Linked DNA regions of Mus musculus: all the other regions are reported to be linked to region 1. Evidence: microRNA targets listed by miRTarBase, many of them from high-throughput screens and not tested one by one. Region 1 holds a microRNA gene; each other region holds the end of a gene's coding sequence.

The links. Region 1 holds the annotated microRNA mmu-miR-130b-3p (CAGUGCAAUGAUGAAAGGGCAU, at 2,253-2,274, opposite strand). A microRNA usually pairs through its seed, bases 2 to 8, with sites in the 3' UTR of a target mRNA and lowers its output. Matches are read on the target gene's strand: a 7mer-m8 pairs with bases 2 to 8, a 7mer-A1 pairs with bases 2 to 7 and ends in A, and an 8mer does both.
Region 2: miRTarBase lists Kdm2a as a target of mmu-miR-130b-3p. Seed matches in the 3' UTR shown: 7mer-m8 at 5,821-5,827, 7mer-m8 at 5,228-5,234 and 7mer-m8 at 5,099-5,105.
Region 3: miRTarBase lists Map3k12 as a target of mmu-miR-130b-3p. Seed matches in the 3' UTR shown: 7mer-m8 at 942-948 and 7mer-A1 at 2,912-2,918.
Region 4: the mRNA of Chrna7 is a reported target of mmu-miR-130b-3p. The part of its 3' UTR that is shown has no 7-base or 8-base seed match.

Annotation. Positions count from the first base shown.
Region 1 is chr16:17,121,819-17,128,939 of GRCm38, forward strand. Mir130b (microRNA 130b) reads right to left here and starts at 2,324; the gene lies at 2,243-2,324. 2610318N02Rik (RIKEN cDNA 2610318N02 gene) reads right to left here and starts at 3,384. Exons shown (of 7, transcript NM_001358255.1): 1 at 3,172-3,384. It overlaps Mir301b (microRNA 301b), which reads right to left and starts at 2,678; the gene lies at 2,582-2,678.
Region 2 is chr19:4,312,597-4,319,717 of GRCm38, forward strand. Kdm2a (lysine (K)-specific demethylase 2A) reads right to left here. Exons shown (of 21, transcript NM_001001984.2): 21 at 3,548-6,685. The coding sequence ends at 6,504. Among named protein-coding and RNA genes, the nearest start is that of Grk2, 9.9 kb to the left of the region's middle.
Region 3 is chr15:102,493,528-102,500,648 of GRCm38, reverse strand. Map3k12 (mitogen-activated protein kinase kinase kinase 12) reads left to right here. Exons shown (of 16, transcript NM_001163643.1): 15 at 1-141; 16 at 473-3,002. The coding sequence ends at 568. It overlaps Pcbp2 (poly(rC) binding protein 2), which reads right to left. Exons shown (of 15, transcript NM_001103165.1): 15 at 590-2,160. The coding sequence ends at 2,124. Among named protein-coding and RNA genes, the nearest start is that of Map3k12, 20 kb to the left of the region's middle.
Region 4 is chr7:63,093,007-63,100,127 of GRCm38, reverse strand. Chrna7 (cholinergic receptor, nicotinic, alpha polypeptide 7) reads left to right here. Exons shown (of 10, transcript NM_007390.3): 10 at 386-1,436. The coding sequence ends at 904. Among named protein-coding and RNA genes, the nearest start is that of Chrna7, 120 kb to the left of the region's middle.

The DNA.
Region 1 (7,121 bases):
TGTGCTCCCCACCCCACCCCGCCCCCACTGCTCCACCCCTCACTGTGACCGCCAAAGGCACCCAGGTACCTTCTGGATTTTGAGCTCCTGGATTTTGACCTCCTTCTGAGCCGTGGTCCTTTCCGTTTCAAAGCACCCAGCCCTCTCCCAGTTTGCAGTTCCCTCCATACTCTGCCCTACCAGACCGCCCTGGTAATTGAATCTACTTTCCAGTTCACTAAGATAATATCCAAAAGGACTTCCTTCTGCCCCCCAAAGGGCTTTAGCTCTGGCTTTTGCACCCTCTGAGTTTCCTACCTACTCGGAAGCATTACACACATCCCTCTCCAGATCATGTCCTGACCACTTCTTTTGCTTGTTTTTTGAGACAAGGTCTCCTATGTAATTCTAGCTATATTGGAATCCACTGTAGACCAGGCTGGAACTCTGCCTCCCAAACAATGGGATTAGAGACTGCATGCCTGCACCCATGACCACTTACTTGCTCTATGTCTTGATGTCCTCCTGTGGCCTCTCCTCACACCTACCTCCGCTACCTTCCTCTCCCTCCCCTCCCCTCTGGAGTGCTAGGGATTAAACCCAGGACCTTGTGCATAATAGGCAAGTGTTCTACACCCTGAGCCAATTCAAATTCACAGAAGTGACTTAGCCAACCTAAATCCTTTGCGGCCCAGACCTCCCCTGATATGTACATGTAAGATATGTAAGATATGCACATGTAAGATATGTAAGATATGCACATGTTAGGATTCCTAGCACCTCAGGATGGATCTGCTGTGGCAACAGCTGCTGACACACGTCTACCCTAGCCACAAAGGAGTGTGGTTGCTTCTTCCCCATCAAAGCCCTCCGTCAGGCCTGAGACTCATTATGTATCAGAGCAGTCCCCATGGGTGCCAGGACTTGTGGAGCTAGAGTACTATTAAGGCTGATTTTCTCAATCTATTCCCAAAAGGGAATCTGGAAGCCTGGGCCTCCTCTCAAGGAGGCAGGCCTGACCACCTCCTACTAGGTTTTTGTTTGTTTGTAAAAGAGGGGTGGGTGCATTGAAACAGGGCTTTACCATGTAAATATAGCTCTTCTGGAACGTGCAGGGTAGACCAGGTTGTCCTTGAACTCACAGAGATCTACCTACCCATGCCTTCCCTGTGCTGCATTCAAAGGCATGGGCCATTGGGTCTTGCCGCTAAAGGTAACTCTGCAAGCACACTAAGGATCGGGCATCCTTAAAAATTCAGCTCCAGGGCTGGAGAGATGGCTCAGTGGTTAAGAGCACTGTTCTTCCAGGGGTCCTGAGTTCAAATCCCAGCAACCACATGGTGGCTCACAACCATCTGTAATGGGATCCGATGGCCTCTTCTGGTGTGTCTGAAGACAGCTACAGTGCACTCATATAAATTAAATAAATAAATAAATAAATAAATAAATAAAAATGAGCTCCAGCCCTGTCTGGAAAGCAGACATACCAGACACCTCCATGCCTCTCCTACTCAGCACATACCCTCTTTGTAAAGGAGCAAGCAGACATGGCTGGCAGGCCTACTCTGCAGGCTTCTTGTTCCAAGTCCATCCATCTGGCCCAGGCAGGACACTTCTTCTGAGCCTCAAGGTGTGAACCCAAGGTGTGGTTATCTCAGGAAAGGCTGAGTCCAGTTCTTCCCGAGGCAGTCAAGGCTAAGCAAGGTATACAAACCTTTTCCATACAAAGAGGTGAACATCTGTTTCTCTCCACAAGGTCCTGGAGTTCCTAGTTTTGTTTTGATTCTTCAGACAGCTTCAAAACTGAGACAATCTTCCTGCATCAGCCTCCAGACATGGGCTCACCAATCTTTCTTTCTTTTTTAATTGATTAATTAATTAATTAGTTAATTTGGTTTTTCTCAAAACACGGTTTCTCTGTGTATCCCTGGCTGTCCTAAAACTCACTATGTAGACCAGGATGCCCTAGATCTGGGTGATCCACCTGCCTTTGCCTTCCAAGTGCTGAGATTTAAGGCATGAGCTACCTACCATTCACTCACCGCCGCGCCCCCTGCAGCAGACTCCCCTATCTTAACCTGGGGGGAGGGGGCTAAGAGCTTGAGACTGGAGCCTTTCCAAATCTGGGGTCTCCCCTTTGTACTGGTTCCAGCCTTGGAATATGGTTCTCAGCATCCACCTTATCCTTTTAGCTAGAGATAGCTATCTCTATCTAAGACTATGATCCAAGCACTGACCCTTTTGTTCCTCAGGCTCCTTAGCTGGCCCGACAGATGCCCTTTCATCATTGCACTGCTTCCCAGAGGCCCACAGTAGTGCAACAGGGAAAGAGTGTCCAACAAGCCTGTCAGTCTCACGGGGTGGGGCGGGGCATGGGGAGTTGGGGTGGCTGGAGTGGGATCTTAGACCTAGAACGCATGCCCACCTGGGCGGAGCCTCGGCCTGAGCAAAGGATGCCCTCTGACCCCAGAGACACGGGCCTGGCTACAATCTCAAGTTTCCATGGAGAAGAGAGTAAAATGAGCAGGGGGAGGGTACGGCCTGCAGGCCTGAGGGGCCAGGCCTGGAAAGGGAAGAAAGAAGGAACAGTAGGTGAGGTGGTCTTCGAGGCTGGTCCCAGATGCTTTGACAATACCATTGCACTGCTTCTCACAGCACAGTAGTGCAACCTAGTCAGAGCACCCGCAGCCAGCAGGAAATCCATCGCCCTCGCTGCACGCAGGGCTGCGCTGGAAATTCAACCACCATGGGTGGGTGGGACATCTATCCAAGCTCGGAGAACAGACGGGATTCCAGCCCGGATGCAGTCCTCTGGACTTATTAACTTCAGGGAACTCAAACTTTCTCTAACAGGCTTCTGATTCTGGTGAGGTACTCCAAGGAGGGAGCTGAAGGGCGAGCACCCGAGGGGGCTCAAACACAAAGGAGAGAGGCCTGCGCTCAGTTGCAGAGGGGAGCACAGTGGGACTACTTGTACCCTGTTTCAGACCAGAACTAGAATAAGAGGGATACTTCACTCCTTGCACGTGAGGCCCTTGGAGTCCGAGATCCGGTCCTTGGTCCATTCCCCCAGTATGAGTTCTGCACTCTATCCTAACAGATTCTCCTGCCTAGAAGAGCAGAACTAGGGCTTCCTGGCATCTGGAGTTTCCCTGGCCTCACCGCACACCCTATCCCAGACCAGTTACTCACGTGGACAGACACCTCTTGTTCTCACCAGGGGGACAAGGTGAAGCTTAGTGGAAGATCCAGGTAGGCGGCGGCCCCGTCATATCTGGACAACCCCGCACCTCAGCACCTCGTGGCGCCCTCTCTCCCTCGGCTCCATCTTTAACCATCTGACAGTCCCGAGGGCCGAGCCCCGGGCCTCAAGGCACAGCGCCAGCCTCATTGGCTTGCGCCTACACCAAGCTTTGCCTCCTGCGCACCTATTGGCTGCTGCTGGAAAGATTTCAAAATAGCCTCCAGGCTCCGATTGGCCAGGCGCCCGAGTTTTGGCTCCACCGTTTTAACAATGAGTTCTACAAACACTTTCTCCTCATTCATAACTCTTGAAAAGGAGCTCTGTCCGCCTTTTCCCAGCTCATTTCTCTGTAGTTATTATAGTGATACTCATGAGGGCGCGTCCATGCTTACTACACAGCTCACCAAATTAGCGAGGGCTCTGAGATCCCGGCAAAGTGTCCTTTGGCCAAGCCAGCGGTTGAATGAACCCCTAGGGGATGCTTCGTATTTCGCGAGAAATTTGTTCATTGCTCCTCCAGGATGGGACATTTACTTAAAAACCGTGGCCTTCCCTCTTTCTGTCCAACTTCAGAGCATCGTCATCAGGAAACCTCTGGCTGGGCTGAGGAGGCCCTGGCACTTTTTGTAAGTGAAGAAATGCTCTGATGTCATTGATGTCATTGAGAATGTGAACCACTTTATGGGTAAGAGTTCATTAAGTGACCTTTCTGAGCTAATATGTCCAAAGATACACAGCACCTAGCACCCAGAACCTGAGGTGTTCTACTCAGTTCTGTCAGCGAAGGGAAAAACAGAGTTTTGCAGCTGGCGTCTGAGCTTTACCCCTAGTTATATCCATATGAGACAGGGAATCTTTACCCCCCAGCTCAAAGGCTGAAAGAAAATATTTTTAAAGCAGACAGAGCTGGTTTTCGATCTTCAAGAACTCATTTTGTCCACTTAATTTTAAATGTAATTTTTTGTGTATGGGTGCTTTGTTTGCCTGTCTGTACCACCATGTACATGCCTAGTGTTCAGGGAGGTCAAAAGGCTTTCTATCCTCTGCAACTGAAACTATAGAGGATTGTAAGCAAACACATGCATGCTGGAAATGAAACCCATATGCTCTGGTAGAGCAACCAATGCTATTAACACTGACCCATAATATCTCAGTCCCTACATTGTTTTGTCTTCTTTGGGAAAAAAAAGAATGCTGGTTTTTTGAGACATCGTATATCACGGCTGGCTAGTTGAGAACTCACAGAGTAGACCAGGCTAGCCTTGTGCTTATGGTAATCCTCCTAGGTTTTTGCAGTACTGGGGATACAGCCACCACACTGCATCGCTCCACACAGATACAAAATAAAACATCCAGAAATTCCAACATTTGGGAAGTGGAGAAAAGAGCCAGAAGTTCAAGACCAGCCTGAACTACATGAAATACTGTCTTTAAAGAGAGGGGGCTCACCAGAAAGAAGGCTCAGTGGTTAAGAGGGTTGGCTGCTCTTCCAGAGGACTCAGGTTCCATGCCCAGGATCCACAAGTTGTCTCAAAGGCATCTGTAACTCCAGTCCAGTATCGTCTTCTGGTCTCTAAAGCCATTGCATGCATAGACATATGGGCAGTCAAAACACCCATACACATAAAAATAAAAATCAAATGTAAAATTAAAGTGTTTTGCTGCTGCTCCTGTGCTTTTCATTTGTAATGTTTTGCATTCTGCATGGAAGCAACTTTTCTGCTCCATGAGTTTGGGGGCTGGAGAGATTGATGGCATGGCTGTCAAAATCGAGTACTACTCTTGCAGAACTGTTAAAATTGGACTTAAATGAGTTCCCCAGCCATACTAGATGGCTTACAGCCACCTGCAGTCCCAGCTCCAGGAAATCCAACACCCTCTTCTGACCTCTGAGGACACCTAACTCATGTTCATATTCACACACACACACACACACACACACACACACACACACACACACACTTTAAAATGGCATTTAAAAGTTTGGCAATAGATCAAGGCACATTAGTACACATCTTTAATCCTAGTACCTGGGAGACAAAGGCAGGTGGATCTCTATGAATTCAAGGAGACCAGGCTACATAGCGAGTTTCAGATTAGCCAGGGTCGCATGGTAAAACCTGTCTCAAAATAAAAGTTTGTCAGTGGAAAGACCAAGTCTCTTACAGACAGGGGAGTAATGGTCCAAGACATAACTCCCTCCCCTCAGGATTCAAATTGACTACAGCTTTTCTCTCATCCACACATTAGTAAAGTCAACTGATTTCTCAAATCCATGTTATCAGTTCTTCCCACACTATCCCAAGTCCCTCCCAGCCAACTGTCATCTCAGCCTCTTAGGATTTTTCCTGGCCCTCAGGAAATCATCCTACTAGTTCCCCTGAAGTCCTTATGACCTACTCAGTCAAGCCCAGGAAATCTGTCATTCCTTCCCCCACCTCTAGAGGCCATGCACACACCACTAGTGAGCTGCCAGCTTGCTGGTGAGGGACCTTTTGCTAGTGTGTGTGTGTGTGTGTGTGTGTGTGTGTGTGTGTGTTTTCTTATGTGCATTATTTTATCTAATGTTAGTGTTGTAAATGGGCCCTATGCCTTGTACATGCTAGAAAATGTTCTACCTATAGCCTCAAACATACCAAGTACCAGCCGGGCATGGTGGCACACGCCTTTAAGCCCAGCACTTGGGAGGCAGAGGCAGGCAGATTTCTGAGTTCGAGGCCAGCCTGGTCTACAAAGTGAGTAGGACAGCCAGGGCTACACAGAGAAACCCTGTCTCGAAAAAACAAAAAACAACAACAACAAAAAAAAAAAACATACCAAGTACCAACTGTTCCACAACTCAATTAGTCCCCCAGCTCTTGCTTTTAAATTATACAACCTTAACCACCCAGATTGGATGGGTTTTGTTGTTGTTTGTTTGGAGTGGGGAAATTGTCTTCCCTTGCGATGTCCCTTCTCACTCTTTTTGTTGTTGTTGTTGTTGTTGTTGTTTTGTTTTGTTTTTTCGAGACAGGGTTTCTCTGTGTAGCCCTGGCTGTCCTGGAACTCACTTTGTAGACCAGGCTGGCCTCGAACTCAGAAATCTACCTGCCTCTGCCTCCCCAGTGCTGGGCTTAAAGGCGTGCGCCACAACGCCAGGCCCTTCTCTTTTAAAATTACAGGTGTCTGAAAAAATGTTCAACATCCTTAATCATCAGGGAAATGCAAATCAAAACAACCCTGAGATTCCACCTCACACCAGTCAGAATGGCTAAGATGAAAAATTCAGGTGACAGCAGATGCTGGCGAGGATGTGGAGAAAGAGGAATGTTCCTCCATTGTTGGTGGGATTGCAAGCTTCTACAACCACTCTGGAAATCAGTCTGGCGGTTCCTCAGAAAATTGGACATAGTACTACCGGAGGATCCAGCAATACCTCTCCTGGGTATATATCCAGAAGATGTCCCAACAGGTAAGAAGGACACATGCTCCACTATATTCATAGCAGCCTTATTTATAATAGCCAGAAGCTGGAAAGAACCCAGATGCCCCTCAACAGAGGAATGGATACAGAAAATGTGGTACATTTACACAATGGAATACTACTCAGCTATTAAAAAGAATGAATTTATGAAATTCCTAGGCAAATGGATGGACCTGGAGGGCATCATCCTGAGTGAGGTAACCCAATCACAAAGGAACTCTCACAATATGTACTCACTGATAAGTGGATATTAGCCCAGAAACTTAGGATACCCAAGATATAAGATACAATTTGCTAAACACATTAAACTCAAGAGAACGAAGACTAAAGTGTGGACACTTTGCCCCTTCTTAGAATAGGAAACAAAACACCCATGGAAGGAGTTACAGAGACAAAATTTGGAAGTGTGACGAAAGGATGGACCATCTAGTGATT
Region 2 (7,121 bases), not on the chromosome of region 1:
TCAATGATGAACAGTGCTGTCAAAGTGTAAGCTCAATAAACCCTTCCTCCCCAACTTGCTTTTGGTCATGGTGTTTTCTTCACAGCAACAGAAACCATAACTAGGAAACCTTGCCAAACAAACAAACAAACAACCAACCTTGTTTTTGAGATAGAGTTTTACCATATACCCTTGGCTGGTCTGGAACTTGCTATAGAGATCAAAGTGGTTTTGAACTTCCATTGATCCTCCTTCCTTAGCCTCTCAAGTCTGAGTTCCAGACACAAGTCATCATACTCTGTTTTGTTGTTATTGCTACTGTGTGTGTGCATGTTGTGCATGTGTGTGGCTACGTGTGCCATAACACATGTGTGAAGGTGAGCAGACAACTTTGAGGTTTGTTCTCTCATTCTACATTTACACTGGTTCCAGGACCTAACTTAGCTCTCCAGTCTGGAGGGTCCTATTTATTAGGGACAAAGTCAATATATATTCAGGCTGGTCTCAAACTCACCATCTTCTTGTTTCAGCTACTCAAGCACTGGGATTACAAGTTTCTGGCACCAGAATGAAGGTTGCAGGTTCTTACTTCCTTTCCAGATTCTCATGACCCTGTTCTGAGGAGCAGCACTTTTCCAGGGACCTTTAAGGTCGTGTAGTCCAGCCCTGTCCCAGCCCCAGCCGCAACCTGCTTTTCAGAGTTTTTGCAGAGGTTAAGATTCCAGCTTCAGTCTTCTGGACCTCAGCTACACCCACCCTCCCAGATGCAACGCGCATGTGTTCCTGTACCCTAAGTCAACCGCTTGTGAATTACAGCTTGTGATGTCTGGTAGTCCTCACGTTGGTACTGAAGTGTTGTATGACTGAATCTGAGAGCTACTTCTATTAATCCCGTCCAGTGCCTTGGGCAGGTTTCTTATCCTCTCTGGGCCAGCATTGGCGAACAAAGATGATGTGCAAAGCTCTGGAGTAGGGTAGAATCTTAGTCTGCTGACTCTACCATTCGCTGGAGTCTTCTGTCTCATTTGCTCTCCAGGCATCCTCTCAAGCCCTTTGTCTCATTTCTCTTCTGCCCTCTACCTGTTACCTTTCCTTTTCTGGTTTCTCAGGTGCACTACTGTCTTCCAGCACCTCCTGGCTTATAGCAGCTGCGCTCAGCCTCTAGAGAGGGATGGACAGGACAGGGAAAGTTAGGGGACTGGATCAGGCTTAGTGCTCTCTGGCTTTCAGCTTCCGTCCTAAGCTTGGACCGGACCTGTGGAAATACATAGGGAAAAGGAAGAACTGTGCATCCAGAGTGTGAAGCAGCCAATGTTCAAGCACATTTAGCAAAGTCGGCCTGGGGGAATAGGCACCCCCTCCCCAAAATACTTCTTTTGAAGGGCCCTATGCAAATAAAATAGAAAGATGGTTTCATTGGTTAACTTGCTATATAATCATGGGGTCCTAGTTCAGATTCCTGTACCTAGTAAGCCAGAGTCTTGTAAAGAGACTTTCTAAATACCTATAACTCCAGCTCCAAGGAATTTGATGTCTTCTCTGGATCCAAACCACACAGGCACATACACCTCCTTCCAGCTACACACACACACACACACACACACACACACACAGAAGGCTTTGAGCTAGACAGATGGCTCAGTTGTTAAGAGCACATATTGCTCTTATAGAGGACTAGATTTGATTCCCAGCATTCAAGTCCAATGGTCCATAAACTCCCATAACCCCAGTTCCAGGAGATCGAATGAATGCTTTCTTCTGGCCTGAGGGCACTGCCCTTGTGCACAAACCATACTCATCCACATACATAATACACATAACTAAAAAACAGAAATCAGGGGCTGGTGATATGGCTCAGCAGTTAAGAGCACTGGTTACTCTTCCTGAAGACCTGGTTTTAATTTCTAGTATGCATGTAGTGGCTTACATTTGTAACTCCAGTTCCAGGGGTCTGATTCCTCTTTGGCCTCTATGGACACCAAACATCCACATGGTACACAGACATATACACAGACAATGTATATACAACAAATTAGCCGGTTATAATGGTTCACACTCTTAATTCCAGCACTTGGCAAAGTAGAGGAAGGTGGATCTCTGAGTTTGAGGACAGCCTGGTCTATATGAAGGTTCTAGAATAGCCAAGGCTACATAAAGAGAACTCTCCAAATAAAAAAATAAAACCTTAAGTAAATTTAAAATTTGTATTTCTCGTTAAAGATAGGGTTTCTGTGAAGCTCTAGCTGTCCTTGAATCACTCTGTAGACCAGGTGGGCCTTGAACTCAAGAGATTAAAGGCATGCAAGCACCACTCCTAGCCCCCTGCATTATGAGTTTTAAGTATGAAACAGCACCTGGGTCGGTCAGTCATTAAAATATTCTTGCTCCTGATTTGGACTGAAGCCATGGTTCTCAACCTTACAAATGTTGCGCCCCTTTAATACAGTCCTCATGTTGTGGTGGTGCCTAACCTTAAATCTGTTTTTTTTGTTGCTACTTGAAAATAGTGACTTTAGTATTGTTATGAGTCATAATGTAAATATTCTTTTAGTGGTCTTAGGCAACCCCAAAGGGACTACAACCCCCGGTTAAGAAGCTCTGGACTAGAGGCTGTGCTGATTGAGGTCCTAAACAGGGGTGGCAAGGATGAGAACAGAGGCAAAGCTGACAATCCCCTCTTCTCTGCTAACACCCAAATAGCTCATCTTCAGGAAACGTAACCAGTGTTCCATCGGTTTCTAGAGCAGAGAGCAGGGCGTCAGCTTAGGGCAACAGGATGAGTAAGAATCCACTCCTCCTGAGATAGTGAGGATTTCTGGCAGCAGGCAGTACTTCTCTGGTCACATGGTTAACCTAGAGTTGGGACAAATGCCAGCCACAGGCCATCTGGAGGCTTCAGCATGGGAGGTTGGTCTTGGTTATTGGGGCCAAGAGGTCAGAGATGCCCAGGCTGTTCCCAGGAACTGCTCTAAGTCTGTTTACTTTTGGGGAGGTCCTTTAGCCTTACCACATAAAATACTTACACATCCATTAAAGTTTGCTTTGGGGATAGGGGTTGGAGGACTGTATAGATGGCTCACTGGTTAAGAGCACTGGCTCTTCCGAAGGTCCTCAGTTCAATTCCCAGCAACCACGTGGTGGCTCACAGCCATCTGCAATGGGATCAATGCCCTCTTTCTGGCATGCAAATATGACAGAGCACTTGTATACATAAAAAAGTGTCCAAAAACTACCCTCTGACCTTTACAAGCATGGAACTCCACATGGTTACAAAAACAAGAGACTCCTCCAAGCTGCCCTGTAACCTCCACAGGTCAGAAGTATGCCATGGTATATGTACACGCCTGCAATCACATGTAAAGTACTTTTAAAATTTAACTTCATCGAGCAAGTGTTGCTTTTTGACATTAAGAAAGCTAGTAAGTATACAGGCTTGTACCACAGATGTTTCTGTCCAGAGTGGTGGGGCAGGCACTTCCTAGTTTTAGCAAGACATCAGCATGTCTATATGACCTTCTGACATCCTCTTAGATAGACATACACATACACCAAAAATGAAAGGGGTTAGTTTTTGTTTTTAAAGTCTTTTTATTTAAAAACAAAAACAAAAAAGAAAACCAAATCAAAATATTTCCCATTGGAGGCTATTTCTTTTTTTGTCTTTTAAAAATTTTATTACACAAATATCTCCCATTCCCAAGTGTCAGAAGAAAGACATCTTTGCTCTTTCTAAAACCAAGTGGGAAACTTTTAGAAAACAAAGTCCAACTAGCTTTCTTCCTTCCCTGACCCAAAATAATGCCAATGTGTCAGCTGGTGGCCTAAGACTCATTCCCTTAATGCTTACATTTAATTTAAAAATCTTAGCACAACATTGGAGATCGACTCTAAATAAGCAACAAAAAATATATATTTACAATATTTCCCACCCACCCCCAAAAAACCAAACCCTTTAAACATAGTGACTTTAGGAGTTTTATTTATTGAGCAGTTATTTTTTTAATCACCAAGTGATTTTATATTATATATATATAATTATATATATATAATTTTCTTCCTTTCCTTTGTGTTTTTTTGCCCCAGTATGTGGAAAGATGAAGGCAGAGGTCAGGTCCTGCAGTCTGAGGCCAGGCTCTGGCAAGACTGCAGCTAAGAGTAGATGCAGGACTATGAACTCGCATGTTCTACGTCCTCGGAGACACTTCTCTCTTTTTGCAAGGACCAACTCTCACCTCTAAAAACCATTCTCCCTCATAGTCCTAAAGAAAAGACCCAGCAAGGGCGTCAGTCCATCTGCCACCACCCTGAGCTCCCTTTTCCACTGACAAATTTCTGTGCGGTAAAATGCTTGCTTTTTCTAAATTCAAATGCAAAGACCAAAACCCAGACAAGCCATCAGCTTAGAAATTTCTGTGGATGAACTGTCCCAAAGGGCAGAGGCACTCTCCCGGCACAATCCCTGCTCTGAAAGGGTCTCTCCACCTCCCCTTTCATAAAAAGACAACAAACAAAACTTAGTAATTTTAGTATTTTCCACAGGAGCAACCAAAAAGAAAAAAAGTCAGGAAGCTTCTAATTATAGGTCATTAATAGTATTAATAAGGTTTTTGCTCAACACCCAGGGTTCTTTACAGAAGTTCCCCCAACTGAGGCACTCTGGAATAAGTCACTGGCGTTTCCTCAACATTTCAGGCCCAGGATTCTGGGACCTGAAGACCAATGGAATGGCAGAGGGTCAAGGGAGCAGACTGCTGTTTTTAAGGTGCAGCCAAGAGAAATCAGCAGATTGGAAGAAACAATGCCATCCCTTGCCAGAAACCCAGTTTTCCTGGAAAAAGTCTGGTTATTGCCAGGGTCAAAGCTGGGCTGAGTGGCAGAGGGGACACTTCTGCCTCTATTGCTTTGGCAGTGGCAAGGGTACAGTTAGCATCTCTCCTTGGGCGGTTCACACTTCAGACTCATGGTGCCCGGGCTCTGTCCCCTCTTGATGGAGTTTAGGAAAGTCTGAGGCTAGATTCCAGGAAATGGGGTGGGAAGTGGGAAGGGATATGTTTGGGGCTAAGAGAAGGCGGGGCAAGGCTGTGCTATCAATTATCAATCTCCTATAGATGGGGAGCAGAGTGCAAATTTGCATGTATCACTGACAAACTCTGGCCACAGGCCTCTGCTGAGCATCTCCTCATACTCTAAATATTGACCCAGAACAGTTCCGACCATTTTCTTTCTTTCATTTTTTTTTTTTTTCTAAAGTGCAAAAAGCTCTCTGCTGCCCTAGAGAGAGGATCTTTGGACAGGCCGTTCAATGCAAAGTCAAAGGGGGCAGCTTGATGGGGCTTGAAGAAGGGCGATGAGGAGTGGGAGCCATCATGCTCCCCTCCTTCCCTGCACATATGTGCAGCACACTTAGCCAGACACACAGAGGCACATGCACACACACTTCCAAGGCTGCAGGCAGAGGGTAGGTTTTCAATCAGGACTCCCCTTAAAAGGCACCAGGTCAGTGAGCTGCTAGGTTATACACAGGCCTGGGCTCAGAGGGCCATGCTAAACCAGAGCCCAGAAAAGCCTGGCTTAGAGAGGCAGGTGGGGATTCAACCAGTCTTCTGTTTCCCCCACCTGGAGAAACATGCTGCTCCTTCTGAGGACACAAATTCTAGAAAAGCCCTGCTCAGGCAGAAAGAGGACAAATGGAAAAGGGCAGTTGGTGGGCAGCAATGGGTGGGGAGTATTAATGATGCCTGTCTTAGAATATGCCTGGGTAGCAATGATATGGGCATTTCGGGGGGGGGGGGGAGGGGCAGAGTTCCAGCTCCTCTGAAGAGCTTTTGATAACCCCAAGTAAGTGCAACAAAGGACAAGTGGGTGACTAGTGGAAAAGTTTAGGGGGTGATGGCAGAATGGGGACTGTATTATGAGTGTTGGACAGCATCAAGCTCAGGGACAAGAAAAAAGGGCTATGACAGACATGGAGCAAAGCTTCAGACAACTCACAGCACCATTGAGACCTGCCAGGCCTGGTGTTTCTAGGGCTGTTGGCTCCTCCTGCAGAAGCCGGGAGAGTTTAACGGAGGAGAGACACGCAACGGACACCATGAGGAGAATCTGGCCATGGAGGCAAGGCTGCCTTCCTCCCTAGAGTATGCTCAGAACCAGGCACTGCTAGGGACTATGGGTGAGAAGGTAGGGTTCTTGGCCCAGTGCAGGTGAAAGATGCACAAATTCCCCCAAACTGAGAGCCCAGCTTCCTAGCTGGCAGACGAGCAAGCAAGCAGGAACTGGGATAGCACAGCCTGTGCTTTCTCCTTGATCAACCTCTCCTTTCTTTTCCGTGGGAGGGAGAGGAGCAGGCAATAACCTTGGTGTCCACCAACCTCTCTGCCCCACCTGTGGGAGAAGGGCTCAGAGAAAAGAGAGCAGAGAGGGAATGTGTCGTTGGCCTCAGAGCCTGCGCAGGGTCAGGGAGAGACTCTCCTTGGTGGGAAGGCAGGGGAAGATTTTCCTGTTCAGTCTGGGCTGAGCATGTCTTAGCTAATCTTCTGTATCAGTTTCTCATCAGACAGGCAGTAGAGGCTGTTGATGGACAAGTCTGAGATGAAGTGCTCACAGGCTTTTCTCGTGATCTGTTTGCATCCTCGAAGGTCAATCAAGGTGACATTAGCAATTCGCCTTAGGAAGAACAGGGTCTGGTCTGTCAATTTATTGCAACCTGTAGGCAACATGGCCAAGAGAAAAAAAGATTACAAACATAGCCACAGAGGCCCATTTCTGCCACTCTGTTATCCCAGTATCTTTCTCCAATGCTCTGTCACCATGCAGAGATACTGGGGTTGCCATCAGTATTGTGGCCTCTTGCTGCCTGCCTCTAAGGACCATGGGCAAGTGAGCAGCACAAGAGCCATCTGGCTGACAAAACTACAGCTGGACAGCAGCCAAACATGCCGGCACCTGAGTTTACTACCCACCTCAGAGATCTTTGGTTTAAAAAGAAATAGAAAAGTCTCTTACGGCTGGAGAGACCCCAGCAACCACACGGTGGCTCACAACCACCCGTAACAAGATCTGATTCCCTCTTCTGGAGTCTCTGAAGACAGCTACAGTGTACTTACATGTAATAAATCAATCTTTAAAAAAAAAAGTCTCTT
Region 3 (7,121 bases), not on the chromosome of region 1:
ACCAACACTGATGAGCGACCAGATGAACGATCTGATGACATGTGCTCACAGGGCTCAGAAATTCCACTGGACCTACCTACTTCAGAGGTGGTCCCTGAACGTGAAGCCAGCTCCTTGCCCATGCAACACCAGGATGGCCAGGTAAGTTTGAGTTGCAACCACCAGACACTGAAAAGTGAACTGGGATCAGAAACCCAGTCATTTGAGAATCTAAAAATCATTATTCCATAACCATTAAAACAAATATCCATGTAAGTAGTAGTTGAGAATTAATGGTTCCGAGCATATAGTGCCTGATGTTTAATTTGTGTGGCAGCTTTGATGACAGTAGTCATCAAGGTATCCTAAAAGGAATCTAGCATAGTGCCTTGGACCTATGAACAGATTTAAAAAAAAAAAAAAAACTCCACTGTTAATGTAAAAGAAGGGTCCCCAAGGCTCCCCCACCTCACTGCATTTCTACTCTTCACAGGGCCCCAATCCTGAAGACTCAGACTGTGACAGCACTGAATTGGACAACTCCAACAGCATTGATGCCTTGCGGCCCCCAGCCTCCCTTCCTCCATGAAAGACACTCTTATTCCTTGTACATAGAGAAATATTTATATAAATAATATATATGCGCCACATAATCAACAGATAGATGGGGCTTTCTTAGCCTTAAGCCAGGCTTGAGAGTGAACGACGCCCCTGACCAATTACCGAATAAGTTCTGGGGACACTGGCAGCTGTGGAAATGAATGACTCCGAGTACTACCCTAGAGCTATAAAGAAAGGAAGCTGGCCCCTTCTTGCTTCACCCCATTCCTTATGTTGAACAAGCAAGTAGGCAATAGAAAAGCCAGGCTTGTCTCTATACTGTCTATCCCTGAACACTGGAGGGGCAGGTAGAGGATTCACTTAAAACTGCACTTTTATTTTCCGTTTACTGTTTACACATTTTGCACTTGGGAGGAGGGAAAGAAACTAAGGCTGGGTCATCCCTCTGAGGTTTCTCAGGTGGCAATGTAACTCATTTCTTTGTTCCTGTTTCTCTGCCCAAACCCTGGCTTTGGGCCAGACGACTAACAGCATGTGATGGCTCAGGCTGAAGAACTGGGGTGCTGTTAGTCCCCACTGTTATCTTGGTGCCTGGTAGGGGTGGGGACTGTCATATTGTAACCCCTGTGAACAACCTTGAAATATAACCACTCCATGCAGGCCCAACTGTCGAGGGTTTTCTTGGTGAATGAGTAGAGTGGTATAATACATGGTTTCAACTTGGATTTAAGATTTTATCTGAGGAATTTGGACAAGTTATTTTCTAAGTTAACATAAATGATAGCAGGTAAACTTTTCTAAATGATTTCAGAACAAGGAGGTCTCAAAACACCTATGGAGAAAACTAAATGAACAATTACTAGAACTTTAAAGTATGCAAGGTAGAACAAGGGGCAGCCATTCCCAAGTTTACTATCCTTACTATCCACGAGTTCCTGCCCAGCTCCATAAATGCACCAGCTGCTCTACAATCCTAGGGTAAGTGTAATTGTCAATCTCCGTAAACAAGTTTTCAGAGGCTACCCAGTATCATGGAGGGGGAGGTGATTGAGGGCAAATTAAAAAAATTGGAGTGGTAAAAAAGGGAAGAAAGTCCATTAATTCTATTGAAACTGAATCAGGGCTCTCTGGAAGTTAAAAGGTATAAAAATAACATCAGACAGGAACAACACCCACGTAAGTCACTGTGGCATCCAGTTTCTATTCACAAAGAAAAAGCTCCAGTCCATCTTTTAATTTTTTTTTTTGAAAAATTCCTGACATTACAGAACTAAACTGAAATGTATTAATAATCCACTCTTACATTTCCATGACAAACAAAAATTCATGAGCCAAACAAAAACAAAAACCAAAAAACAAAAGGGGGAGAAGCTTATAAAACTAAATATGGATATCTCAGCGTAACTGCTGAACAGAGAAAGGAATTAAAACACTTTAATTAAAAAATCATGAGTGGATGATAAAGTGTGTAGAAACTGAAAATTTACAAACTATTTTAAAACCTGGAGTCGCTGACTGTTCAGAAACTACACAGATGGATCATGGGTGGTGAACAGCAGGATTATGGATGGGTCTGCTCTGTTCTAGCTGCTCCCCATGCCACCTGTCTCCGAGGAAAGCCTGTAAAACACAAAGAAGAATAAGTCAGCTTACCTAGCTACAATTCATCACACCAAGGTATTTCAAGGTTTCTTAGATTAGCTAGTACCATAGTGCACAAGGTTGTTTATGTAACACCACTACAACCAAGGTTCCTGAGGTGTTCTCAGAAGAACATAACAAATGATGTTAAGTTGGTGACACTGTCTCTTCACGTTTTACTCTTTGCAAACTGAAAGCATTTCTAGAGAACATTAGGCTTCAAGGAGTTGATCCTGTCGTGTTTACACTAGAACAGCCCACCAATGTGAAGGAACTTTGTGTTGGGAGCCTAACATTTAAAGATATTATGTAATTTTAACAATACTTAAAGGGAGGAGCAAGAATAGGAACTATAGTGAAAAATTGAATTATTGTTTTCAAGCTTATAATTTTAGGACAAATACCAACAAAAAAACAAGTATCAAAGCTTCAATTCAGTTCCTTAGCTCACTCTTCAAAATCCAAAACCTGTGGCCTTACTGGTACCAAATTCTCCTTGTAAACATACCTGGCTACAGTGCCTTTCTACTTGTTTCAAATAGGTCATTTGAGGTCCTGGAATACAATTAAGCTTTGAGAGAAAGGCATTCAGTGTACATTTCATTATCACTGGGTAGCAGCAAAATGCCTCATTCTGAACACAACTAGAGGTGTCTCAGGTCCACACCACAAGCTTAACTTCACAAAGAGCCAACTGACATCCATTTGTGATGTTTGGCTTAATACCATGTGCACTAAATGTACAAATACCACAGGGGAAGGGGTATATCCCGGAAACTAGAAGTCATTCTTCAATTAAAATATGTTTTCTTTAACGTCAGAAATTATTTGTCCTGTCTATGTTACTACCGTAATGTGCCTAAACTTTAAATATACATGTGAGATCTCAAACTATGCAGAGTGAAGCCTCTCATAGGTAAAATGCAGCATAGAGGGGAATCTTTAGTTTTTTCAAAAGGAAGGAAGAGATGTTCAAGCAATGAGGACCTGCCCACAATATAAAAATGCCAGAAGTGGCAATGTCCACCTGGAATACCAATGCAGGGGAAGTGGAGAGGAGGGCACATAATCTAGCCAAATCAGTGAGCTCCAAGCTCAGTAAAAAATCTCAAAAAAGGGCTGGTGAGATGGCTCAGTGGGTAAGAGCACCCGACTGCTCTTCCGAAGGTCCAGAGTTCAAATCCCAGCAACCACATGGTGGCTCACAACCATCCGTAACAAGATCTGACTCTCTCTTCTGGAGTGTCTGAAGACAGCTACAGTGTACTTACATATAATAATAAATAAATCTTTAAAAAAAAAATCTCAAAAAATTAAAGATGACTGAGGAAAATAACAAAATCAGTTTTTGAATTCCACAAACCCATACATGTTCACATGCACATATATCAGGTCTACATAGGCTGTGGAAATGGCTCAGATACAGGTTTTGTCATCTGAGCACATAGACACCTGACTTTAACAAACCCAGTGTAGTGTTAAAACAGATACAGTAGATAGTGCATAGCATCTGTAGTAACAGCACATCAACCACAAATCAAGAGGCAGAGAGAGGAGAATTCCTAGAAACTGGAAAGTCAGCTTTTTTTTTAGTGATCAAAAGGACTATCTGAAACCAAGTGGAAGACAATGACAACCTCCACTTGTACACTATGGTACACACCTAGGCCCACACATGGACCCATGAACAACAAAACACGAACGCAGCAGAATCTTGCCTATCTCAAAATAGGATGACCCAATGACAAGGTAAATAAGCTTTAGGGACTCAAGATATTGCTCAGTGGTTAAGGACACTTGTTGCTCTTGTAGGGAATCAGATTTTATTTCTAGAACCGACATGGTGGCTCACAAATATCTGTGATTCCAATTCTATGGGATCCAACATTTTCAGGTCTCCAAAGGCCCTACATGTATTATTCAGCAAACTGAATAAGAAGAGACCAGTGGGAAAGAAAGTTTCAATGTAAATGGTTTGTTTTAATCTAGTATTTCAAAAAACAACCATATAGGGCAGTAGTACAGTGGCCATATAAACAGCTCAAGAACTATCCAGTACTCATAATAAAGCTTTATCAGGAATTTAAAGAGCAAGATGAACTAAATGAGTTACAGAGGGAAATCTCAACCAGAAATGCAATGACTTTTGACATCAGACTCATATAGGAGCATCAAGCTCTTAAATATTTTCACACCAAAAACCTTTGTTAAAAAGTATGGTATCAGCCAGGTGTGGTGGCGCACGCCTTTAGTCCCAGCACTTGGGAGGCAGAGGCAGGCGAATTTCTGAGTTTGAGGCCAGCCTGGTCTACAGTGAGTTCCAGGACAGCCAGGACCACACAGAGAAACCCTGTCTCGAGAAACCAAAAAAAAAAAAAAAAAAAAAAAATGGTATCAAGCCCCTTGAACATCTGTATTATTTCCCGGCAAATCTTTATTTGGAGATATTTATTGGATTAAGGCTAAGAGGCCTTCCAACAGACAAAGTTAAAACTCAAATCTCAATGAAGATGGTTATCAGCATAGTAAGTTTTAACTACAGAAAGAGTTGACCTACACAACATAGGAGGCAGCTAACATCAACCCATAAACCTGCAATTTGCTCTTCTAAAAATCCTTAACCCAGGCTGGGTGGGGGTTAGTGCATGTACAGCTAGGACCGCACACACACACACACACACACACACACACACGAAAAAAATCCTGACCCAGACTTAGGATATGTGAACAAATGTGTTGTAAAGCTAGGAGGGAAGAAAGGAGCCACAATAACACCAGAAACTGAAGATTAATAACAAGCATGAACAACTATTGTCTTCATGATGATGTTCAACAATGTTACCTTAAGGGATGTTTGGAAAAGACCATCAAGGGGAAAAAAAAAAAAATCTAGAAACCTTCACTGCCTACCTACCAGTAAAGAAAACTCACAATATGTACCTTGGATTATCAATAATCATTGCCTCCTTTTAATTTTTAAATGCTAGAAAACAAACCCAGGGCCCAGCAAATATCCTGCCACTGCCTAAGCCTCAGTCACAAAACCCTTAGTGTTCCATTTTTTTTTTCCTTGTGGAAAAACATCTGTGGCTTATCTTAGTTTTTAAAAGTGGCCAAGGAGCCAGGCGTGGTGGCGCATGCCTTTAATCCCAGCACTGGGGAGGCAGAGGCAGGGGGATTTCGAGTTCGAGGCCAGCCTGCAGCCTGGTCTACAAAGTGAGTTCCAGGACAGCCAGGGCTACACAGAGAAACCCTGTCTCGGGAAAAAATAAGTAAAAACAACCAAACAAACAAACAAAAAAATTGGTCAAGGTGTACCTAGGCAGTAAACTATGGGATCAAGCCCACACCAGAAAAAAGGAGAAAGCACACACCGTGAGCTAAGTGCAGCACTGTGGAAAAGCACAGCACAAAAATTAGTCCTGACAAATCATTCATAAAGTTTATATTTTCTTAGGACCTCTTTTCTATCTCCCATTAGAGAATTCATTCAAATATAAGCATATTATCTCCCACTCATGGTACTGTTGCTAGTGAGAAAGACAGGTAGGAAATAGAAGGTAAATGAACTTGACTGAGCAATATTTAGAATGACCAACAATCAATCTATATAAGCCCTCTCTAGTATCCCAGAAGCATATCTAATGATCCATTAAAGGAATATAGGCAAAAGCTGCTCAACTCTTGACACTGAACACTGCCTATCTTATGGCTAAAGAAGTCAGTCCTGTATATGCCTTTGAAATGACTATTCACCAGAGAAAAGAGCTCAGACAAGACACATCATTATAACTATTGGTGTGTTGGCAAAGTAAGTGTGTTCTTGACTTAAAAGCTTCTGGTCAGTCATGAAGGATCATCAGTATTTAAACTACTGAAGACCCTTCTACTTGAAAATATTGACAAAGGATTACAAAATTCATGGAAGATACAAAAGGGCTGAACAGCCATCCAATCTGACAAGGCACAAATCACAAATCCCCACCCTTCACCCGTCACATCACACAGTGAGCTACTGTTCTTACTGTGGCAACTTTATTATAACTAGAACACAGATTCAGCCAAGAAGTCCAGCTGACAGCTTTAACCATTAAATGATTTAAAGTTAAAAAAAAAAGAAAGGACTAAAGGAGAAGCTTTTATTCATCAACACAGAGCCTAACACATTTTTTATATTGCAAGGCAGAATAAAGCTACAAAAAAGTATAACAGAATTAAAGAGTAAGAACTGTGGCTCTAGATAGAGATTTCAATCAACAAGTCAGACTCTGAACAGGCACTGAGCTGTGAAGACCTAACCCTAAACAAGTATTACCCCTGTTTCCATTCCCACCCAGTTATCCCCCAAAGTAGTAAAAAGAAAATGATCACAAGCTCACAATAGTTTGGTTCTCACCAATGTTAACAAAGAAAAACAAAATAAACAAACACTTGAGGAAATGCCAAGATAAGCACTCAGTAGGGAGAGAATCTCTGCTTCTCGCCTTTCAGTTTGTTAGTTACACATGGCACAGTAGAGGTGGTGGTGGTGGTAGCTGAAGCCCCGGTACCCTTAGCAGCAGACACAACATTTAGAGCCAGGAGAGGGATGGGTTTCATGCCAAGCAGACTGGAGACACAAGGGGCGGTCGGAAGAGGGTTGGGGAGGCTGGAGGGTGCGTCGGAAGTCCCCGCTGTGGCGAGCGAGGGGGTGGTGGTGGAAGAGGAAGAAGAAGAAGAAGGGGTGGAGGGTTGAGAGAGGTTGATGCTGAGGTGATCAGGGATCGTGACGGAGGCTGCCTGGGAGGAGGGTTTAGCGTTTTCTAAACTGTAACAGAGGAAAAAAGGAACAAAAAAAAAGGGTGGGTGGAAGGGAAGACCACAATAGGGAAAAAGTACAGGACAAAATCCGCTTCAGTTATATCAGTAAGTGCCTTTGGCTGCCAATTAGGAAGATCTAA
Region 4 (7,121 bases), not on the chromosome of region 1:
TTCTAGAAGTAAAAAAGAAAAAAAAAAAAAAAAGGAAGGTATGGGAAAGAGATGGTGTTCTCTGTGTACACATCTCAGACATCCTTACCTAACCAGGTGCCTTTTTCTCTCACCGAGGGTGCAGTATGTCTACCCCGAGGGAACTTCAGCTTGTTCCCCCAGTGATAAACCTACATAGGTCATATTCTTAGCTCACATTTCATATTTGGCTCCATTCTTGACAGGTTTCCTTGCTGATTTGCTCTATAAAATCACTGAGAAGAGAGGGGATCCTGTTCTCCCTACAGTCTGTAAAGCAGGTCTTCCACTGTGGGGGTCACACTGCTGTGGGGGCTCAGCTGATAGACAACTCTGAGGTGCTCACGATATCCTCTTGTCGTTGCAGACCAGGATCATTCTTCTGAATTGGTGTGCATGGTTTCTGCGCATGAAGAGGCCGGGAGAGGACAAGGTGCGGCCGGCTTGTCAGCACAAGCCTCGGCGCTGCAGCCTGGCCAGTGTGGAGCTGAGCGCAGGTGCGGGGCCACCCACCAGCAATGGCAACCTGCTCTACATTGGCTTCCGAGGCCTGGAGGGCATGCACTGTGCCCCAACTCCAGACTCTGGGGTCGTGTGTGGTCGTTTGGCCTGCTCCCCAACACATGATGAGCACCTCATGCATGGTACACACCCCTCTGATGGGGACCCCGACCTGGCCAAGATCCTGGAGGAGGTCCGCTACATCGCCAACCGCTTCCGCTGCCAGGATGAGAGTGAGGTGATCTGCAGTGAGTGGAAGTTTGCGGCCTGTGTGGTGGACCGCTTGTGCCTCATGGCCTTTTCGGTTTTTACCATCATCTGCACCATCGGCATCCTCATGTCAGCCCCAAACTTTGTGGAGGCTGTGTCCAAAGACTTTGCTTAATGTTATCATGTAGGAGATGCACAGATAAGAAGAGAATCTGGAGGACGAGAATTGGGGTCCTAACTCTACATTGTGATAAATGGAAGAACTCTGAGGTATCCCTGTAGCTGTCGGTCTTGAGATTTATTTTCCTGGTTACTTTAACTAAAAAGATCCCAGCAGCTTCTGTTTACTTTTCTTACACCCATCACCGGCATATCATTGTACTCGGCAGGGGCACCATGTGGTCATTTGCCCACTCTGGATAGCCCTACAGGGTAGATCTTAGTGGCTCTAGTAGGCCAGTAGAGAGGCCTGTCCAGTTTGTGGCGCATGCCTGCATGCCCCTTGTCATGGGCTCACCCGATAGGCTGTCTGCCTTTGCCATGCACAGACCCAGGCTGAAACCAATCCAGAGCACTTCCCACTGGATCCATTTCAACAGCTGCCTTGCAAAAGGAAGTCAAATTCAAATACAAACTACAAACCCCTCTGCTACTTACATTCTCTGTGATTTAACTTACATCTAACTATATCTATCTATCTATCTGTCTATCTATCTATCTATCCATCCATCCATCCATCCATCCATCCATCTTTGTCTTTACCAATGTCAACTTTACACCAGGGAGAAAGTTGGTCTTCTAAATGATGTTTTGCAGGCTAATCCCTGTAGATGTGTCCTAACAATTAAATTATCACACAGGTTGTGTCAGTTCAAAACTGAGACTCACCCTAGCCAAAAGGGTTTTGAGGCTTTGGACCCTTTAGATGTTAGATGACCTCCAAGCTTCATGCTGCTTCCTTGTCCTGAGGAGTTAAATGAATTTGTTTGTACAAAACCTGAAAGGCAAATAGAGTTCTGAGTGTTAACTAAGGAGTAGCTGAAGCTTATCTCAACTTTGTGTGTGTGTGTGTGTGTGTGTGTGTGTGTGTGTGTGTGTGAGAGAGAGAGAGAGAGAGAGAGAGAGAGAGAGAGAGAGAGAGAGAGAGAGTGAGTGAGTTTGTGTGTTTATGTGTGTTGAAAATAGAAGCATGTTAGTTGCTCTGCATGTCAGACTCCACAAGTCTTAGAAGTTTTTGCATCTGTACTGCTGCACACCAAGTGGAAATACCCTTTAAGGAAGCAGTTTAGTCCCCTCTGGGCTCCTGTGTGACAGGAGCTATGGAAAGATGATGTCGCTGATCACTCATCTAGATACAAAGCTGGTTGTCTCAGGATTTGGTTTCTGAGGATCTGCCTTCCTGTGGCTTCAGATACAAAGCTCACTTGGGGTCAGTGCATGGATTCACTGGAGATGGGGTAGGGGTGATGTTGTTTGTATGTTTTTTTCCTTCTTCTGAGCTAGGGTCCCTCTGGCTGTATAGCTCATACCAGTCTGTTTGCACTTCACATCTTTATTTGTTAATGAGCTGAGAGTATTTTTCCCCGAGAAAAGCTTTTCCTGTTTGATAGTGTTATTGAACTTCTTGGGGATTAAAACTACATGACACTTCTGAAGCTCCCAGAAATTTTAAGCTTCTGACTCCAGAAATGAAATCATGAGAGAAGGTTAGGTTTCTCAGAATAACAAAACCAAACCAAACAAAAATTCACATTTTCCCAGCCATTAATTTCACTATAGGAAGATGAAGGCTTGGTGGTACCCTGTGTGTATGTGGGCATGTGCATGTTTGCACTGTGTGTGTGTGTGTGTGTGTGTGTGTGTGTGTGTGTGTGTGTGTGTTTGGCTGAAGAGAGGAGATAGTATAGAGTGACATGGATAAATCTGGAGACTGTTGATTTTAACACCCACCATCTGGAGCAGGGTTATTCCCAGCATGCATCTGTTGCATACATTATCAACAAATGATATCAAATATTTTGCTGGTATTATGATTTTTGATTAAAGTAACTAGAAACAAATAGATATGTTTTGATATGTAAAGACCAGGCTTTGTGTCTTACTGTTAAAAACTGAACCCTAGCCATTGCTTTGACTGAGTAATTAGTGTCATTATAAAAGTAATGATAAAGAATAGCTGTGCTCATAGTTAGGTGTATATGGTTCAAAATAGTCTCTCCTTGCTTCCGTTTCCTCCTAGGGACAGTTTTAGAGGAAAAGAAAGGAAAGGTGGGAACAGAGAGAGGGAGGAGAACATGGAGAGACTTTGTTGTTGCTTTCCTAGAAGTCATGTTTGAAAGGTGCTAGGCACCTAGTCTTTTGTCCTAGAGAGCTTTCCATAATGGTCTAAAGGTCTACCTCATTCCTCTTAATATTTGCTTAGAGTTCCCCTCCATTGGTGGCTTATAATCTATTGGATCAGCCTTTTAGTGATGAACACATAGCTGGCTGCAACATTTCCAAGTTTTATTTTTATACACAAGTCTATAGTTAGCATTTTGGTGCATAATTTGCCAAAGTTTCTGTGTATAAATTCCAGTTTAGAAATGGAACTATTGGATCTAAGACTATGTGAGACTTTAGATACGTGCATTGCGATGGTCCTCCACGAACTGGTCAGTGGATGCCCCTATCCAAAGTTAAAGGATCAGATTCTCGGCTTTATGCTGTTAAATGTTTTCAAATTTAATTTTCTCTTCCCGATCTGACAGGTAAAAACGATGAGGCAAAACCATTCTGATTTTAGTTCATTTTACCATGAGCAAGGATGAAGTTTTCATATATATTTTTTTGGTAATTTCAGTTTTGTAATATTTATATCTTTAATACAAATTTCAGTTTTTTTATTCTTTTAACTTATTTGTCATTTGTTTTTTATGGTGTTCATTGATTGCATGTTTATATTAGAAAGTTTAAAACTCTGTGTTGTTAGTTTATTTATGTTTTCCTTTGTAGAACATGATTGCCCTCTAGGTTTGAAGAGGCCTTCCTGTGTTGAAATTACAAATAAATTAGTTATATTTTCTTTCAAAATCTTAACATTTCTACTTATCTGCCTTTATAACTTTTTATTCTTTAAAATTCATTATAGTAAATATAGATAAAGATTTAGTTGTTTATCTCCAAGAGTGGTACACAAACATATAATAAAGCATTTCTGCAATGCAGTGAGACTCCACGAAGTTCAGATTGTCACTTCGGTGTAAACTATGTTTCTCCAAGTGCTTTTCTGTTCCATTGATTAATCTGTCTTAATGCTGTTGATTTTCCAAAGTTTTCTTGGTATTATCAGTATTTTCAAATGGATAATGTTTTATGATCCCTCCCTCGTATTCTCTGTGTCATGGACTGGGGTCACAATGGATTCATACAGCAGGTCTTTCTGTTTGAAAGCACCACAATTTCAGCTTGTTCTCAAATCTAGTAATACAGCAGTCAGTAGGGTGATCAGACCCTACACATTTCTTGCTGTTCATTTCTGGCTGTCTTATTAGTTGGTTACCGTTTTCACTTGTCTTTTTTTAGCCATATATAGGACAATGGTTGGGTTTTGTATGTTAATGTCAAATAATTAGTCACCATAATCGTGGTTGTTTTGTTTCTAAGATTTCCCTTTAACTCATTTTCCCCAATATCTTTATTTCATTTTCTATCGAATTGCACTTGAGAACAGTAATTGGATTGTTTGCATACTTGTCTTGTTCTTAATGTTGATGGATGTTTTAATGATGCACAACTTTACTTGTATGAAGACATGTATTTTCTTCATCATAATAAAAATTATACATGTATCCTCTCAACTATTACTGTTGTCTGGAAAAATAGAGATGGTATCTTTCTGTCAAAGCCTTCCCAGTATCCATAGAAAGGACCAGAAACTTCCATTTTCCCCAATAGAAGGTTTTATTGACAGAATACTTAAGGGGAGATCATTTTTCCTGAGGTGATGTCTACATTGCCTTATGATTTTGGCTGTCCATAGCATGTTTTGTGTACCATTGTATTCAATCAGTTGGATGAAAAATATTCCAAAGTCACATCTTTACTAAGCATATGCAGCTTTTCTTCTTGTTGCTATTCCATTGTTAGTGCAATATAGCAAGCACATATCATTTCCACTATAAATAAACCACAGATGGTATAATATAAATGAGAGGGTATATGGGGTTATTTCCAAATACCACACCACTTTATAGGAGGATTTAAACATTCTCATACTTTTATATGCATGGGAGTTCCTGTCCTAAGAACACTAAAGGATGAGTCTAATTGATTTTAGTTAATTTTTGCTTAAGTTGGCAAGAGCTGTCTAAGAAAGAGCTGGATTTCTCCCATCAAACATATTAGAACTTTTGGTGTCCATTTTAATGTGTGTGTGTGTGTGTGTGTGTGTGTGTGTGTGTGTGTGTGTGTGTGTGTTTCCTAGACAGGATCTATTCCCAGGCTGGTCTGGAACTTAAAATTCTCCTGTTTCACCTTTCTGTGCTGGACTCTAGGAACGCACCACCATAGCTGGTTTTTTAGTTGCATATTTTATTTTAAAATTAATCATATCATTTTTTTGAATAGAGTTCCATAGTTTTCAACAAAAACTTTAGGATTTCTGACTTGGTTTGTATTTGTGGAGATTTTTTTTTTCACTTTTAATTGTGTGTATTTTTCTTTCATCTATGCTTAATGATTTGAACACACACACACAAACACAGATATTTGGACACAGATAATTAGATATCACTATATAAGCCTACCTGCTCCTGGGTCCTATCTGCCCCTGGACTGACCTAACACTTGGTAGTTACAGCAGAAGACAGGTGTCTTCGTTTGCTTTCTGTGCTATGATAAACACCATGATGAAAAGCAACATAGGGAGGAAACAGTTTATTTGTTTTGCACTCCCACACCGAGTCCATCAGTGAGGGACATGGGTTCAGAAACTCAAGGGAGCTCTGGAGCGACTCTATGGAGGAATGCTGCTTAATGGCTTCCATCACGTCTTGCTCAGCCTGTTTCCTCCAAAAGGCTTCTCTGTCTATTATATGTATGATAGCTCTAGCTTTCCTGCAACAGCCAGGTCTTTGTAGACCAGGCTGTCTTCAAACACACTGATATCTGCCTGCCCTCTGTCTCTCAAATACTGGGATTAAAGGAGTGCACCCTTGGCGCTCTCAGAGTCTGAACCACCAACTAAAGAACATACATGTGCGGGACCTAGGCCTCCCTACACATATGTAGCAGATGTGCAGCTTGGTCTTCATGTGGGTTCCCAACAACTGGAGTGGGGGGCTATCCCAAAGCTGTTACCTGTACGAGGGATGTGTTCTACTTGCCGGCTGCCTTGTCTGGCCTCAGAGGGAAAGGAAGAGCCTCACAGAGACTTGAAATTGGAGGAGTGGGGAGATAGCCAGGAGTGCCCCCCCCACCATGAGAGGAGAAAGAGGGGGGATGGGAGAAGAACTTTGTTGGAGGTGACTGACAGGAGGACAGTGAATAAATAAAAAATTATTTATTAAAAAAAAAAAGACTCTCCCGGGGTGGGGCACCACCCGCAGTGGATTGGGTTATTCCACATCAGTCATTTATCAAGATAATGCCCCACATAATTATCTAGAAGCCAATATGATGATGGAAGAACTCTTCTAGTTGAGTTCTCTCCTCTCAGATGACAGTAGATTGGGTCAAGTTGACAAGAACAACAACATAACAACCATCAGCACAACAGGGCAGTGCTAGCCACACAGTGGCTGGAGTTGCAATTTTCCCCATCCCTACTCAAGGGTCTAAGATATGAATTCCTGCTGAATGCTGGAAACTGCTGAGGCAAACCAGTCAGACAGGATATGCCGGATGTTCATTCCACCACGAGAGCAGCTAAAAGAAAGACCCTCAGACACCTTCACCATAGAACTCTCCCTCAGACACTTTCACCATAGCACCCTTGGCGTACAAGTCTCAAGATGTAATCCTTTCTCGAGAATCTTACATTCCCTTGTTCTTTCATATATGAATGCTTCCCAGTTCTCTCCAAACTGACCCTGCCATTGTAGACCCCATCTTTTTGGCCTTCTGATATAATTCTTGCCTCGTGGGTTGGAAAAGGAGCCCCAAAGTCCTGGCTTCTTGAGGTGTTACCTGCAATTCAGTCTCTGTAAGTCTCTGCTGATCCCCACGTTGTCAGAATAGTCTACTTTGGGAGTAACAAGAATAAGAAACAATCCACAGTTCAGCCTGGGTCATCACCACTTCTTGTCTGTGTCTTTGTCATTTAAGATCAGATGTCTTTCTTAAATTTAGTTTGGTGTGTGTGTTCATGTGTATGACCAAGTTTGTGAAGTTTGAGGCTGATTTTGGGTATC